2 linked regions of the Arabidopsis thaliana genome follow. The protein of the gene in region 1 interacts with the protein of each later gene in a biochemical or structural test. Each region holds a gene or a part of one and is shown on either strand. Other genes may lie near its edges.

Region 1 (9,652 bases):
GAATGGGGCTGAAGAGCCTGTGTTGAATTGCAAAACGTTCCACTGAGATACATCAGTTTCACCTGAGGATATTGATTCTAATGAGGGTCTCCGGTCGTGTGATTGTTCCAGAATATTAGTGTCCTCTTGTTCAGGAATCGTCTGCGGTCAAGAGAAACAAGTTAGTTTGTTTACTATTTCAATCCGGATCTCATCATTATATCAGGTAGAGTTCTTTGTGTCTATGGTAGGTTCATTGAGAAACTGATTATACATAAACTAATTATACATGGAAATCAAAGGTACCTCGACCAACTGGTGTGCTGTAGCAATTTCTCTTTGTGCGCATGGATGGTCGATATCAAGAAGAGAAGGCATCCGCTCAGTGAGTTCATCAAGGGACTCAAGTAATGCTTTCTTCTTGCTTTTACTCAAAACATGGACAGAGGCTTGTCTTGTGATTTCCTGCAAGATGCAAAATAAGTTATTGACCAAAAATTAACCAAAAACCAAGATCTAGTATGAAGCATCATGAGGTATAAATACCTTGACTTGCTTCAAAATGCCATCCAGAGAAATGAGAGATGCTAATCTTGAGTCTTCAGCTGCCGTCGAAGGGTTTGGAATAGGAGAACTGCCTTCTTCCAGGTTAAGCAAAGCTGCATCACTTTTCATTTGTTGTAAAATCTGATAAAGAAAGCAAACGAAAGTCAGAGCACAAGAACGTTTCTAAGATAAAAATCAAAGCACCCAGAACTATATCGTTTATTTTCAGGTGCGGTCTAGTACCTTTCTTCTTTTGTGGTCAACGGACTCAAGAGCTGATCGAAGCTTAGACACTTGACCAGCATCTTCTGCCTCTTCTGCCGCCAAGGTACCAGCAATATCCTGTACCACAGTTCCATATTAGGCATCACTCCAAACTAATTACTCAGACTAAAACCTTAGTCCTTAGACCTCAACATAGGCCGTAAAGTCAGCCACAACATCAGCTACTTAAAGAGATCTTTCATTTCAGACCATTGGGAATGTCTATCTGCCAATTCCACTCAAAAAATATTTTTTGACCAATGACATCGCATACCTTCATGTGCTGCATTTGAGAAGTATAGACACGTTTTGCATACTCGGACAGAAGCTGCCCGAGAGCATCTGTATGAGGTGGCACAGCGGCCCCTAGTCCAGCCATCCAACCATCCATAATTGCTGTGGAAAGAAGCTCTAGTTGGCCACCGTTTCCTCCCGATACATCATCTGAGGTCACGGAAAGAAACTCAAAATTTTCTGCAAGCCATAGCCGAATCTGTCGCTGCAGTTCACCAGCCGGAGTGTGAACAAATAACGCAGCCAAGGCTTTGTTCCCAATAGCAAAACTTTTGGCTTCATCTTGCATTTCCCGCAGCTTAACTCCAGTAACTTGCTGCCTCCCAGCATCCTAGATGATAACAATCAAGAGCATAAGTCTCTCTTAATATATAACATGTTAGATAAACTCAAGCATCTTTGAAATTCAAGTGCTCTTCCAAGGTAAATCCACCTGTTCAAGTCCACGCATTCTTGATACCACAGATGCCAACTTGTTTCTCCTTTCTGCCTTTATATTTACTTTAAAGCCATGGATCTGCGTATCAAGATATCGAACAGGGGATCTACCTGGGCTGCTACCCCTGCTAGTGCTTTTACTTCTACCAGTATTAGGCTTCTCAAGAAAGCACTCGACAGGAGAGACCTAAATGAGGAGGATAGGGTTAATTTTACCAGGAGAAATAACATAGTCATACAAGCTAAGGCCAAAGCTAAAATAAAAATCAGATACAACTCGGATGCCTATGCTCACCCTGATAGTCTGAAGCTCCGGTGATCGTGCCAGTAAGGACCTTATGTATAGTATCCTAACTCGGGAAACAAGCATGGTATCCATTACTCTTCTTGGTTCCATTTTCCGAATAAATGAAAAGACAGAATCTCTAATCTCAGCAAGGATTTCATGCTCTCTGGAAGCACCAGCCTTGATGACAGCTGCCAAAACCTGCGAGTCAACAATAGGAAAAATGCTTGCCAATATAAGTTGATATAAAAACATGTCCTTAACCGATATTAGTGTCTAGAGACATCAGGAATCCATCATAACCTTCATTCTTCATATTATGATAGAACAATGGTGTCATGTCATATAACTACACCACTGAAAAGTCTAATAAAGATACTAAGAAACTAGTTCTTAACCAAGTACCAGCATTAGTAGCTTGTTTGCGCCGTCAGCAATGGCAGCAAGACCTTCATATTCTTCAGGGTCAAAGTCATTCAATGCAGCTGTCAAGTATTCTCCAGCTGGAGTGGTTTTTACTAAATCAGTGCCAGATTTTACTAACGTAATCGCTCCGTTATTCTTATTTGGTGTAGATGGTAAAGCAACGGCTTCTGCCGAATATCCTTCACCCCTACTAGTTCTCCCGGAGACAGAATATTACATATCAGTATATAATAAGGATTAATTATAATGAAAGGACAGAAACAGAAAACAGTAGTTCAAACTAATCACGGAATCACCTGTTAACATTGGCAGGCTGAATGTTTGGCGAAGCTCTTAATGAGGGACTCAACACCTAATAAAAAAAAAATGGATAAGAACACTTAAGCAATGGAGTACTGGTAGCAAGTAAACCTCCAGATGCATAGTGTTGAACATACAGTAGCAATTTGTAAAGAATGGAGTTAAATTAATTTTTCTCTTAACAGCTGAGAGCAGTGCCTTGATATGATATTGAAATGCTTAATATAGCATAGCTATACAAGAGAAAATAATGACCTGGGTCGAAACAGCCATTGACCTTTCTGTTAATCTGTCAAACAACTTTTCGTTTTCTTCATGCAACCTCTGCGGAAAACATAATTCTCTTCAGATAAATGTACTAGTGCAAATATCCATGGTTCAGCCAGAGGGCACGAACTCTAATCAGAGTAAGAGGGAGGAGAACCTCAATCAGTGCATCACGTTTTTTCAATTCTTCCTCAAGTTTCTTGGTAACAGAAGAAGAATCAGTTGTACCCTCAACCGCTTTTGGTATTGGAGAAAATATGTCCTGAGATTGCAAGGCATCTCCTGTTCTTGTTGTGTCAGATCTAACGGCTTCACTTACTTGTGATTCCAAGTCTGTAATTTTAGCCTGCATTAATTTGAATTGAACAACAGGAGAATTATATGTCTATCATGTACAGAGAAGTCAACAATTTCAAAAATCAGTTGCCTTAACATAGATCTAAAACTTTAAAGCGTAGATACTAACACTCATGGGGCACAAACCTGGAGATTTTGAATGGCGGAATCTTGTTGTTGCATTTGCAGCTTCTGTTCCTGATCCAACTGTAAAAATTGAGCTATTTGATTCCTTAACTGAGAATTCTGCTCCTTCTCTAGTCTATGTTTGTCTACAAGCATAATATTCTCTGACTGCATGAAGTACAAAACGGATAATGAGCAACAACAAAAAAGTTATAAAGAATTGTTGACAAGCTAAACAAGAACCCTGGTGAAGCTTTATGACCTTTAAATCTGATTGCAATGTAAATGAAACTTTCCACGCTCTCTGCACTTCACTGTAGAGTAATACACACTGGTCATTTGCATCTTTAAGAGCTTTTTTTAAGCCCACAACCTCTTGTTTCAGATTCTGATTTTCTCTCTCCTTCTCCAACAGCTCCTTCCGAGCATCACTTGCCTGCGGGACAAAAGGTTACCTATGCAGCAAATTTTGTAACAAAATGAATATCCGAGAAGGAAAAATCTCTTTCACTTCCACTTACCACATCTCTCCATTTCTTGATTGTATCTCGATTGCCAAGGCTTGGTACAGTATTCCGAGCTCTAGCAGCATAATTGAGACATGAGATTGTCTCAGACAAGGTTTGCACACTTGGACAGATGTTAACGATCATCAATGTTTTGGAACTTCCTCCTACACATTACAGAATATTGTATCTCACTTACAAAGAGCTTTAAGAAATGGTGGCAAAACAAAAACAAAAACAAAAGATGATACTATTAAGGGTGACACAAAAGAGGAAAGATGCATGTACTGAGATAACAAATTTTACCTAGGGAATCTGCAAGTACTCTTGTAAGAATTGAATTATCATAAGGAATTGAATCCTTTCCGGATGTCAACGAGGATAAAACATCTCCCAACCTATAGAACCAGAAATATATGCATAAACAAAGTTAACAAGAACAAATTCATGGATAAATACAGAGATATAAGAATTTAACATACGCTGAAATCGAATTCATGACATGCAGCAGATCAGTGACGTGGTCTCCACTATCATTTTCCATGATTAAACCTTCACTTCCAGCCAAGTCAACCAGAGAGAGCTTGCTATATATGTTTTCTCCAGTAATCGTGTTGCTATAGTATATGTGTATTGAGACAATCCTACCAAGGCAGAAAACATCCGTAAAGAAGTGCTAAAGAATCTTGGTCCTTAGCAGATAATTATATGCATGTAACCGAAGGAGGTATTCAAGCACAATATAAAACATACAGATGTGTCACATTAAATTTTGATTTATAGTTGCCCCGGTTCAGAAATGCAGATTTTAAGACTCCTAAGAACTCCAATGGATTATCAACTTTTTCCTGTCCGAGTTCTATAACAGATTCATGTAAATCCATGTTGATATTGGGCAAGTTGCTCTGAGTTTCCGAAAGTAGATCCCTGATCTGACAATGAAGGTTGTCAAATTAGAAGTGTCAAATTCCACTGCAGAACTATCTTGGCAAAGAAAATGAAACCCAAAAGTATTAGTACTTAAACTCGATTGGAAGCACCTGTTCATTATAGATCTCAAACACTGAAAGAGAGAAACTGAATCGTGATGTCGAAGTTGAATCCGAATTGGCTAGGTCGAAGAGTTCCTCAAAACATCGAGCATATAAACCACGATCGTGATTCGAACCTTCCTGGCAAAACAACAATCAACAAAGCTGATAAAACGGAGAGCCATAGGGAATAACAAATCACTGTGAAAATAGACAGTCCTATGATTAACGACCTCATTCAACATAGAAACATGCCTGTGAATGTACACGATAATGTAGACACAATATTCACTTCAGATATTAAAGAAAGCATGTTGTTATACTAACAAAATCAGTTTGATATGCATCCTACATATGTCATAACTCCAGAAAGAAGCTTATCCCAGGCTCAATTCTGAACCCGATAGAAGAAGAATAAGCATGTAATTAAGCAAATGAACGCATGAGAGCTATAGAATGAGCATATTCTTCAAAAGAAAAGTAACCGCATATACATCATAAGCTATGTTAAATTCTCACATACAAGCAAAGCTAGACACTAGAAAGTAACAGCAAGTCCATCTATATAGTTGCTTCACAACATCAACATGTGACCTATTTGTTAACTTTCAGAGGAAAATGAAAAGAATGGTTACCATGGTGTATGTCTTCCCTGCATTAGTTTGTCCATATGACAATATGGAGACGTTAGATCCATCCAGTGCAGATTGAACAAAAGGTTGGACATCGCTAAACAGTGCAGCTGAGCAAAAATTACAGTATAAGTACAGAGGTCGTATTGTTGCAGCTTTTGTAGATTGAAACCAGAAACAGCTCATGACATAAGGAGAGACTACATTTTACAATGAACTATGGTACTCACCTTGTCCAACATGAGGTCCGTAAACTCGGTCAAATTCAAAGTCCTTCTTGGGATTGGACAGAGTATCATCACTAGTGTTTACACATATGGTGCAATCCCCAGGGAACTCTATAACAGAGGGACCTTCATCCTCAAACAATGGCCTTGCACGGCAAAATACCTTTATGTTCCCTGAAGTACGAAAAACAAATCCACATTAACCAACAGGTAGCAGAGAACTATCATACATCAGTGAACCTATACCAAAGAAAGATTATCGATATAGAAAGATCGATGATACTGGTTATGGAAGCTGTGTACCTTTGGCCGTTAACAAGTCATTGAACAGTCTTTTCTTCTCATTGATAAGTGGAGATATCCTAGCCTCAGTCTCAAGGACAAACTGATCTGTGGTGGTTTACGTAGATAAATCAATACAACACACTACCAAATTTCCACCACAAAACAGATAAATAAACGCAACCACGAGAGCTAGATACAGTAGATGGATTTATGAAGTTTCCAATAAAGGTTTCAATTTTGGGAAAATGCCAACCAATTCTAGTGTTGTTAACTTCTCCAGTGGTCACAAATGCACCAAATGTAATGAATACTCAGTTTTTCTCGATGCTTGCACACAACTTACATAGACTTCAAATTTACGACTAGTGAAACACAAAACTTACCCAATTTACGACTTTTCTCAGCCAAAACACCTAAGTAACGTGTAACCCTGTCAAGCTTAGCATTAGAATACTCCTGAAGATCAGTAGCTTCTTGTCTCAACTCCAAGTAATCTTCTTTCGCAAGCTGTTCAACCAAGTCACAATTTTTTTTCTTGATAAGTAATGGCTTCAACACTAAAAACTTCCATCAAATCCCACAAGCTAGACTTAAGAAACTAAAAGCAGCCTTTTATAAAATTAATTCAGCTCAAAACCAAAAGCCAAGTATACTCTGTGAAGTGAAAAAGGAAGTGAAATTTATCACCTTAACTTTCTCCTTTAATCCGTTAACCTTAGATGCAATTGCTTGCTTAGGCGGAAGCGAGGGAGTCGAAATCGAGTTCCGGCGAAGCAGAGGACCAGTCGTACGGTGACCAGTACTCTCCGCAAACGATGCATTGGAAGAAGACTTCCTCGGTTCGAACCCACTCACCTCCCAGTTCCATCTATTGGTTTTACTTCTCTGATCGGCCATTTCATCCAAAAAAAAAATCAAATCAAAGCAGCAAGAATTGAAGCAGCAGCTTCGAAAGCCAAATGAAAGAATTCAAAAGTTTTCGAATTTTATTTTTGTAGAAATAATCAAAGATTTTTGTTTTTATTTTTGGTTCATCTCTGTGGATTTTTCCCTCGGTTTGGTATACAAAATAATGAAAGGCGGAGAAGGTCCTTTTGATTGATTCCAAACGACGACGTTTATATTTATTTCAATTTTTATATTTAAGAAAATAGACAACGCCGATGCCTTTTCAGACACAAATATTTTGTGATCTGCGTTACTTCACGACGCCTTATCGTGTTCCATGATAAATCTCTCACTAACGAACTACGTTGACTTTTATATATCACAAAAAAACAAGTTTTGATAGTTATTTTGGGCAAAGTAAATTTGACTCGTGATCATCTCAAAAGCATTTAAATATTTAAACCATGATAAGACGATATGACCCAATAATTTCACAATTTTCTTGATTTTTTTTCAATTTCATAAATATTATTAAGAATCCATTTCGACTTTTTGGGAAATTTTAGCTTAAATCAACTTTTTCATTTCTACTGAGAAGGAACCAATGATTTTCTTATTAATTTAGAAACCACATTACACTTAATAGTATCCTGCTGCATGTAAGTTCAAGTAATCGCCGAGGAAGTAAAAGCTCAAACAAGCTAAACAAAAGACAAGTTGTAGTAGTAGACTAGTAGTACATGAACGAACAAGACAAGAGGAGAAAACAGTTGATGAGCTTTTTCGTCTCTTTCTAAATCTTTTCTTTTATTCCCTCTTGGATTTGGAGAGAGCTCTCTTTCGCTGACCAAGCATGTACCTGTACATGTGTGGGCTACCTGCAACAGCCAAATACAAATTTAGTCTCGCAGATCAGAATTGAACAGATGTATGGGATATGTTATAAGAAAGGTTGACTGAGTTTGTGCCTGGGACATAGATTGCAAGGACGAGTATCGTTGCATAGAAGAAGTCAAATGAGAAGTTCAATATGTTAGGCATCCTAACGCTGTACATCTCCGATGTCTGCAGACAAAAGAAAAAGAAAAAAAAAGAGCAAAGGGACCATTCAGGAATCAACCATATATATACTCTCCCCTGATACCAGTGGAACAGAAAATCTGAAACTTTATAGATGGCATTAAAGTTAAGTCTATATATGGATTATTTTACAGTGACGTCTTGAAAGTCAACAAACAGATCCTGTCTACTAGAGTCTGAGGGAAATGGCTTTAACAGTTCATGTCTACTCTAAGAGCTCTAAATTCTAATACACAAAAGGGTGTAACAACCCGTAAAGAAATGATATTGTAAAGGAAAGAATTGTTCTCTGTTTAAGGAATTGACATGAGCCAGTTGTGTTACCTTGATGTGTGGTAAGGCAAGGTAGATAAGACCAACTTCGCTGGTGATACCGGTAGGGTATAGCAATAAAAAGCTGCTGTATCTGAACAGATTAACGAGAGAGAAATAAATGAGATTAGAGTTGCAAATTAATCTGTTTTTCAATGTCTATTATTATATTGCACATGAATGGCATACCTGAGCCACAAGTGCCATGAAGGTGCAAAGCCTAGAGCTTCCTTAAAGCCGAAGAATGAGTAGCGAATAATCTGCGCTCAGAGCGAGTTATTCATCAAACATATGAACTGAAGCACGTTATCCTAAAAGGACGCTACTAGGATAAGACTTCAACCAAAATGGAGTAATTAAGGAGTCATACTTAAGTCAAATCTTGACTGTTCGAAATATTAACAGCTAATCTCTTGTTCTGTACTTCAACAATCCATGTTGTGATAGGAAACTTTCAAAGCATCAGTAAGAGAAGCAATGTTTTAGACATTTCAGATTTATGGCATACAACGAATCTAATAAATGTCTCCTAGTAAGAGCGATATCAATGGCTACCAAAATCAACACAGAGACTAGATATAATCACCTCTGTGATAGACCAGCTTATGACCAGCGACGTAACAAGAAAATGAGATCGGACCTGAAATTAAATGAAACAAAGTTCAACAATCAAATGATGAAACTTGCAACAATCAAAGAGAAATAATGAACTAGTAATGCTGGTAACTTTCTAAGTTAACCTCTGGAAAACTGTATAGGATGCCCCAAGTGAGAAATAGCCTTGAACCTATCTGTGGCAGAGTTGCAGAAACAGGAGATCTGACCAAACCTATTCGAGTTTAGCAACACAGCAGAACACAACTCAGTCAATGATCTTAAAAAGAGTTTAATCAAAATGGTGTAGTGCAAGTTCGAAATTAGTCTAATGGATCAGATCACTCACCTACTAATCCATGAAGAATCTGCTCCACACCCGGAAAATTCCAAAATCCAGATTTTAATCAGAGGAAAGAAAAAAAAAACAAATACTCAGTTGCAACAAGTGTGAACCAAATCATTCTTCTTCTTCTCTAATTACCCGGGAAATGCAACAAAACAAGAAGAAATAAAACACGAATTGTGTCACGAGAGACGGACCTCGAGAACGGCGGCAGTCTGAGCAAGCTGGAGAGGCTTCTCAATGGCGTCATAGACATTCTCATAACCCGTTTCCTTCAACGTCGTTATCGCTAAGTACAAAACCTGAGCCCTAATACCCCAAATGTCACCAAAATTCAAAAATCAATCCGAGAGAAAAATAAAAACTCCACTAGACAAAAGAAGAAAGAGAGTCGAGCTCGACTTGCCATCCAGCAAAGACGATCCAATTGTAGAGAGTGAGGTACACGCGCCGGACAACGGAGAGAAAGCCCGCCATGGAAAGTGAATA
Region 2 (7,232 bases), on another chromosome or scaffold:
CAGAATCTGTAGAGTAGTAATGGATTTTTAAAGCTGGTTGATAATAATTTTTGGATCTAAGTAACAAAGGAAAGGCGTTACTCTTTTTTTGTTCTTTTCAAATTGGCGTAAAGTAAAGAAACTACTTTTTATTTATTTTCTCTTAAATAGATTAGATTATGATTACACCAAAAATAAAAAAACATGAAGTAAAAAACAAGGGTAGGTGAAGAAGAAGAAGAGGACAAAGAACAGGCGTGCTTAAGCAACGCTCATCTCTGTTTTAGGTTTTTGTCAACGATCCCTTTTGCATTAGGTTGAGAATTAATTCTGAATTTCTTGCATACTAGCCAGTGTGTATATATAATCAAACAATTCGATCCTAATTGGAAAATTTCTCCATCAGGTTCAGGTCTCGATCGAATTGATTTGAAATGGGTTCGTTTGGGATGCTTTCGAGGAGAACGTTGGGCACTGATATGCCCGTCATGGCTCAGGTCAAACCTCGTACTTCTCCACTTCCATTTTCATTTGATTTGATTTGATTGGTCTCTTGTCTTTTTTTCTTTAAAGTGAGAAATTGTTGGGGTTTTGCGTGCAGATTCGGAGTTTGATGGCGGAATTGACGAACCCCATGTCTCTCGCCCAGGTTTTGCCCTCTCTAGAAATGTGTGTTTTATTTATAATCTAATCTAGTTTAGTTCACAAAAGACTTGGGCTTTCGTGAGTGGTCACCTTCTTTGGCTATACTTTGTCTGGAGTTTTGTTTTGTCTGCAGGCTGATTCTTTTGCTCATGTGCTTTTCAGGGAGTGGTGCATTGGCAGCCTCCTCAAAAGGCCTTAGAGAAGGTCAAGGAGCTTGTCTGGGATCCTATCATTAGTTCTTATGGCCCCGATGAAGGTCTTCCCGAGTTGAGACAGGCTCTTCTCAAAAAGGTAATCGCACCGTACTGAACCATTCTTCTAGCTAGCTCTGGCAACCTTTCTTGTATCCAATAAAGTGACCACTTTTGCTGCTCTTGAATCCAATTCCGTGACTGAGCTTGTTTTATTTTTGATTCCTTGTCTTGTTCTGAAGCTGCGTGAAGAAAACAAGCTAACCAATTCACAAGTGATGGTTACTGCAGGTGCCAATCAGGTATAACCTGTCTTTGTTTACTCTTTTGATTGCTCTTCCTTCTGTTTTCTTCTACTCTCATACTCTGTTTCTGTTTTTGCATCTAATGTAGGCGTTTGTGAACCTTGTTATTACATTATGTGATGCTGGTGATTCGGTTGTCATGTTTGAGCCATACTACTTCAACTCCTACATGGCCTTTCAGATGACAGGAGTCACCAACATAATTGTTGGTCCTGGCCAGTCAGACACTCTCTATCCTGACGCTGGTACCTCCTTGATTCTGTATCACGTTTTTCATGACTTAACATAGCTTTAGTTGTGACCAGTGAATCATTTTTGTTCCAGACTGGTTAGAGAGGACACTGTCTGAGTCTAAACCGACTCCGAAAGTTGTAACTGTTGTGAATCCTGGTAACCCAAGTGGCACCTATGTCCCTGAACCGCTGCTTAAGAGGATTGCTCAAATATGCAAAGATGCAGGGTGCTGGCTGATTGTAGATAACACATACGAGTGAGTTTCTCATTTCCTTAATTCCTATGATGTCCAAATTGAATGTAGTAATAAGCGGGGATTTGAAAATCGCAGGTATTTCATGTATGACGGTTTAAAACATTGTTGCGTTGAGGGAGACCACATTGTTAATGTCTTCTCTTTCTCTAAAACCTATGGCATGATGGGTTGGAGGCTTGGATATGTGAGTGCTCGATTCAATTCTATTCCAAACTAAACACTGGGATTGTCTTATAAAAAGGTTTGATGGACCTGCAGATAGCTTACTCAGAGAGATTAGATGGGTTTGCAACAGAGCTTGTGAAAATTCAGGACAACATCCCAATCTGTGCTGCCATAATCTCGCAGCGACTGGCTGTATACGCATTAGAGGAAGGTTCTGGGTGGATAACGGAACGGGTAAAGAGTCTAGTGAAGAACAGGGATATTGTGAAAGAGGCGCTTGAGCCGCTGGGGAAGGAGAACGTTAAGGGAGGAGAAGGAGCGATATACCTGTGGGCAAAACTGCCAGAGGGACACAGAGATGATTTCAAGGTGGTGCGGTGGCTGGCTCACCGCCATGGTGTGGTGGTGATCCCGGGGTGTGCAAGTGGTAGCCCCGGGTATCTCCGGGTTTCCTTTGGAGGGTTGCAGGAGGTTGAAATGAGAGCTGCAGCGGCGAGGCTGAGGAAAGGAATAGAGGAGCTGCTTCACCATGGAATGGTGGAGTGAGACGTTGTTTAAAGAAGGGTCAAAAGATGGTTACTTTGCGTTTGGTTGAAGCTATATAGTTGTTTTAAAAAGAAATAAAAGAGTGTTTGTTTATTCAATAATCAATATAGCTGATTCTTCTTTACAAAGTCATTGTATTTGGGATGTTGTTACCAATGGTTGAATCCTTAACCCCTTTGGTGTATGTATATACTCTTTACTTATTCAAATGAATAATCCAGCAATGAATGCAAAAGCAAAAACTGGATCAGCTTTATTCGTTATGAGTCTTTCTCTAAATTCAAAAATTTAAATTCGAGTCTTATGATTGACGTTATGACTTGTGAGAAATTGATAATCTGGCCTTTTATTTGAAATTTTAATTTCTGAACCCAGAGGATAAATAAAGTTAAAATCGATGATGATTTTAGGCTTTATTGGTTTGAAAGTGGGCCGTAGATGGGCCCGAATCTAAAATATTTGAATCGAACCCGAATAAAGAAAGAGAGGTTGGATCATAACTACCATCGACGTGGCTTCCATCTTCTTCTACTTTGTCTTCCATCTTCGCCGACGAGTCACATCTCCGAAATCCGGAGCCGGAGAGGGAGAAAGAAGGAGAATTTGGGTTCTCCGAGATCGAAGCTCTTGCCTCGGAACCCTTGATTTTGTTTTGGAATAGGCTATTTTTTTAGTAAAAGAGGAAATGGTGGGAAGTAGTAATTCGTTAGCGGGTCTACAAGACCACTTGAAATTAGCGAGAGAATATGCACTAGAAGGATCCTATGACACATCTGTCATCTTCTTCGATGGCGCCATTGCTCAGATCAACAAGTAAGTAGCTCCTCTTATCTCTCCAGTCTTGAATCTAGCTTTTTTGTCACCCCTTTTGGCAATTTCTTCAAGCCCTAAGCTACTTTAATAGTTTCGTGTTGGATTGTATTGAAATGGGCTTAGAAAAATCTAGAATTTTGCAATGTTCACCGTGCAATGTCTGTGTAGACAGAGATAGAACACTCTTATGTGCTGCGTTAGTGGTTCTGAAGCTATGGTATACTGTTTTAGGCATTTAAACACCCTTGACGATCCTTTGGCCCGGACCAAATGGATGAACGTTAAAAAGGCCATAATGGAAGAGACGGAAGTTGTGAAGCAATTGGATGCAGAGAGGAGAGCATTTAAAGAAGCTCCCACTGGGCGTCGCGCTGCTTCTCCACCTATCAATACCAAATCATCCTTTGTTTTTCAGCCCTTGGATGAGTATCCAACTTCATCCGGTGGTGGTCCTATGGATGATCCTGATGTGTGGAGGCCTCCTACCCGTGATGTTACTAGTCGAAGACCCGCCAGGGCTGGTCAAACTGGTACTAGAAAATCACCTCAAGATGGGGCTTGGGCTCGTGGCCCTACTACACGGACCGGTCCAGCTTCCCGTGGTGGCAGAGGTGGGGCTACTAGTAAGTCAACTGCAGGTGCCCGCTCTTCCACTGCCGGAAAGAAGGGAGCTGCCTCAAAATCTAACAAGGCTGAGTCTATGGTAAGTTATATGTTTTTGCCTTTTGGTATTGCACAATAGAGAAGGTTAAACTTGAAAATTTTCCATCAATCAATATTGACTATGGCATTTCCATTTCCATTACTTTACTTTGGTGATAGACAGGATGTCATGAAACTTCGAAGTTGTTATGTTATAGTAGGACTGATGTATCAAAGATCATGATTTCTGTTACGTTTATGAATGTCTAATTCTGAAATCTGTATTTAGAAACTTTAGAGTCATGGCCATGTTTCCTGTGGTTATGTTGAGTCGGTAGTTTCCACCTATTTTCAACAACTAATAAAACTTTCGGCTTCCTCGTTGATATCAGAATGGTGATGCTGAAGATGGGAAGTCAAAAAGGGGATTGTATGAGGGACCTGATGAGGACCTGGCTGCTATGCTTGAAAGGGATGTGTTGGACTCAACTCCTGGTGTCCGTTGGGATGATGTTGCAGGTTTGTCTGAAGCCAAAAGGCTGCTTGAGGAGGCAGTTGTCCTTCCTTTATGGATGCCCGAATACTTTCAGGTACTTTGATTCTGCTCCATACGCTGTGAAATTTGGATTCTATATTACTATTATTAGACATGGAGCAATCATACAGAATAACAGTTTCAATTCATCATTTCCGTAGACTTTATATTTGATCTTCCAGGTATAGAGGATACTTAATTTGATTGTTTTTGTTTCCCTTCAGGGTATTCGAAGACCATGGAAAGGAGTTCTCATGTTTGGTCCTCCTGGGACAGGTAAAACCCTGTTGGCAAAAGCTGTTGCAACTGAGTGTGGTACCACCTTCTTCAATGTATCTTCTGCTACATTAGCTTCAAAATGGCGTGGAGAGAGTGAGCGCATGGTCAGATGCCTGTTTGATCTGGCTAGGGCATATGCTCCAAGCACAATTTTTATTGATGAGATCGACTCTCTCTGCAATTCTCGGGGGTAAATTTTCCTGACGATACTGAGATTTCGATACTGAAATGAAAAGTATTTGTAATTGGTGGAGGTGTGATGCAGGGGTTCTGGAGAGCATGAATCATCAAGAAGGGTGAAATCGGAACTCCTAGTTCAAGTAGATGGAGTGAGCAATACAGCGACAAATGAAGATGGTAGTCGCAAAATAGTAATGGTATTGGCAGCTACCAACTTCCCGTGGGACATAGATGAAGCTCTCAGGTTTAAATATTCTTTGAGTTAATGCCGTCTTTAGACTTGCTCTAATATAATGAAATTGCTGATTCTGGAGCTCACGTTGGTGCAGGAGGAGGTTGGAAAAACGTATATATATCCCACTTCCAGATTTTGAAAGTCGTAAGGCTCTTATCAATATCAATCTGAGAACAGTTGAGGTTAGTTGTGGATACATTGTTACAACACTCGCAAATCTCTCTACTGGTCCAACGCAATCAATTTAGCAATGAACATTGTCACTTTTCAGGTGGCGAGTGATGTTAACATTGAAGATGTGGCCCGGAGAACGGAAGGGTACAGTGGAGACGATCTGACTAACGTGTGCAGGGACGCATCAATGAACGGGATGCGGCGTAAGATAGCGGGGAAAACGAGAGATGAGATAAAGAACATGTCGAAAGACGATATATCAAATGATCCAGTGGCAATGTGTGATTTCGAAGAGGCCATTAGGAAAGTGCAACCGAGTGTGTCTTCCTCTGATATCGAGAAACACGAGAAGTGGCTCTCTGAGTTTGGATCTGCTTAATTAAACCCACTTTTTTTAATTTAGTGTCAAAAGATGTGTGCCTTTTCTTGTGTGTTGTTGTTTATTGTATCATTATTATTATTTGCCAGTCATTTAACATATTCTTATGTTTCTATATTCCAAACTTGTAAACCTCTACGAAAAAAGAAAAGGATTATATGATTTTCTTCGGTTTTTTGGCTTCAGACTTAGTGTTCATAATTTCTTTACTGTCTTAGAAGAAAAAAACCAGCAAAGAATCACCTTGGTCTTTGTATCTCCAATACGTTGCAATCATTTTGAAAGTATTTGTATATTTTGTAAATGATAGGGATTGAAACATCATCCTATCGTTGACCAAAAATTTCACTGCGTGCTATATAAAATACTATATATGTTACCCTTTAACTGATGAAAATGTAAAGAGACAAGGCAGCACCGTTTATCATCAGACCAGTTTCGAGAGTGTTCCTGCATCGTTGGGCTCCCTCCTCAATTTTGTCTACGTGATTATATATCATATCGTCTACAAACAAAATAAATACAATTCTATCATATGAATATGTGATCATCGATGATCGATCAATATATGTTTTCGAGGTGACGTATATAGTATATTTCCGTAGAGACGGCGAAGAACATGATATCTCTGCATGCCTCCAATCAAATCTTTACACTTCATCCTTCTTCGTTACTTGTTCAGTTGTTCCTTTCTAATCCCGACAACCCTTAATTTGTATTTCTATATTAGATCGAAATATCTCATTTGTGATAAATAAAATAAAAAAAATCAAAGAAAGCTATAGAGAAGCTGCGTGCATGCATGGGTTGGCGATGTTTGGCTTGTTATGTTTGGCTTGTTATGTGGCATTATCTGTATGTATATTACCCTAAATCACATCTACGACATTTCCCTCGATCTTCAAAATATGCCAGCAATCTTCATGTTTCCTCATATCTCTTAACATTGGAAAATGTCTTTTGACCTCTTTTGATGTATTTTAAATTACTTCGAGCTCATCTATATTACAAATCATTCATGGTGAATTATTGTCCAGCCAATAGAATAGAAATCTGAATATAATGTGTACCACATCTTTTATGTAATTTATACGATATTCTTTTTCCTGAGAATGATCAAATAACAACATGCATGAATTGCTGCCAGAAAACGTCAGATTGATCAGTTATCACTACAATTATCAATTAACTAGTAAATAGTATCAAAATGTACGTAGTGCCCATCTATAGCTAGCTAAGGAGGACTCCGGATGTAGAGAAAAGCTAAAATGTGACTTGCTAGAGTTGTATTATATTGAATTTTCTAAACTAATAGTATCTTTTTTACAGATAATAATTTCCGGAAAACCTATTAGATGTATAGATATAACAATAAGCATCGATACCAACCTTTTACTTCCAAAAAAAAATAAAAAAAAAATGCCAAGATGAGATAATTTTGTCAATTTCAATTAGTGGGAAAATAACAATTGTCGTGTTATTTTTGAACCAACGCATCTCAGTGAATGATTTCCCAGTTCTTAAGATTTTAGGACATACTTTCCCAGTAACATCTAATCCGTTTGGGCATAAACAAGACAATTTGTAGTTATGTACATTTCTTAGTGATGTGTGTTGAAAAGATATGAATCAATGAGGTCCGACATATTTTGTCAATACGTTAGTGGTGTTTCA

What was found.
Region 2: the proteins of KAC1 (region 1) and ERH3 form a complex in vitro, tested with the Arabidopsis thaliana proteins (one study listed by BioGRID).

The regions. Positions count from the first base shown.
Region 1 is NC_003076.8:3,290,409-3,300,060, forward strand, and holds the start of KAC1 (kinesin like protein for actin based chloroplast movement 1), read right to left. Parts: upstream 6,966-9,652; 5' UTR 6,841-6,965; coding exon 6,631-6,840; intron 6,451-6,630; coding exon 6,327-6,450; intron 6,049-6,326; coding exon 5,962-6,048; intron 5,833-5,961; coding exon 5,662-5,832; intron 5,542-5,661; coding exon 5,435-5,541; intron 4,941-5,434; coding exon 4,809-4,940; intron 4,701-4,808; coding exon 4,522-4,700; intron 4,413-4,521; coding exon 4,251-4,412; intron 4,167-4,250; coding exon 4,075-4,166; intron 3,936-4,074; coding exon 3,784-3,935; intron 3,699-3,783; coding exon 3,525-3,698; intron 3,431-3,524; coding exon 3,284-3,430; intron 3,147-3,283; coding exon 2,958-3,146; intron 2,858-2,957; coding exon 2,789-2,857; intron 2,586-2,788; coding exon 2,530-2,585; intron 2,424-2,529; coding exon 2,213-2,423; intron 2,009-2,212; coding exon 1,817-2,008; intron 1,709-1,816; coding exon 1,517-1,708; intron 1,415-1,516; coding exon 1,064-1,414; intron 868-1,063; and 7 more. Other genes in the region: PAS2 (Protein-tyrosine phosphatase-like, PTPLA), read right to left, coding at 7,639-7,709, 7,800-7,896, 8,236-8,317, 8,413-8,483, 8,648-8,674, 8,810-8,863, 8,964-9,052, 9,167-9,185 and 2 more. UniProt on the Arabidopsis thaliana protein: Kinesin-like protein required for chloroplast movements and anchor to the plasma membrane. Mediates chloroplast movement via chloroplast actin (cp-actin) filaments. Required for the chloroplast avoidance response under high intensity blue light.
Region 2 is NC_003070.9:30,203,825-30,211,056, reverse strand, and holds ERH3 (P-loop containing nucleoside triphosphate hydrolases superfamily protein), read left to right. Parts: upstream 1-2,788; 5' UTR 2,789-3,006; coding exon 3,007-3,134; intron 3,135-3,365; coding exon 3,366-3,837; intron 3,838-4,168; coding exon 4,169-4,366; intron 4,367-4,535; coding exon 4,536-4,780; intron 4,781-4,855; coding exon 4,856-5,014; intron 5,015-5,099; coding exon 5,100-5,187; intron 5,188-5,276; coding exon 5,277-5,558; 3' UTR 5,559-5,743; downstream 5,744-7,232. Other genes in the region: AT1G80360 (Pyridoxal phosphate (PLP)-dependent transferases superfamily protein), read left to right, coding at 414-476, 581-628, 787-915, 1,058-1,117, 1,209-1,365, 1,445-1,610, 1,686-1,794, 1,869-2,321. UniProt on the Arabidopsis thaliana protein: Severs microtubules in vitro in an ATP-dependent manner. Required for oligomerization of functional KTN80-KTN1 complexes that catalyze microtubule severing. This activity may promote rapid reorganization of cellular microtubule arrays.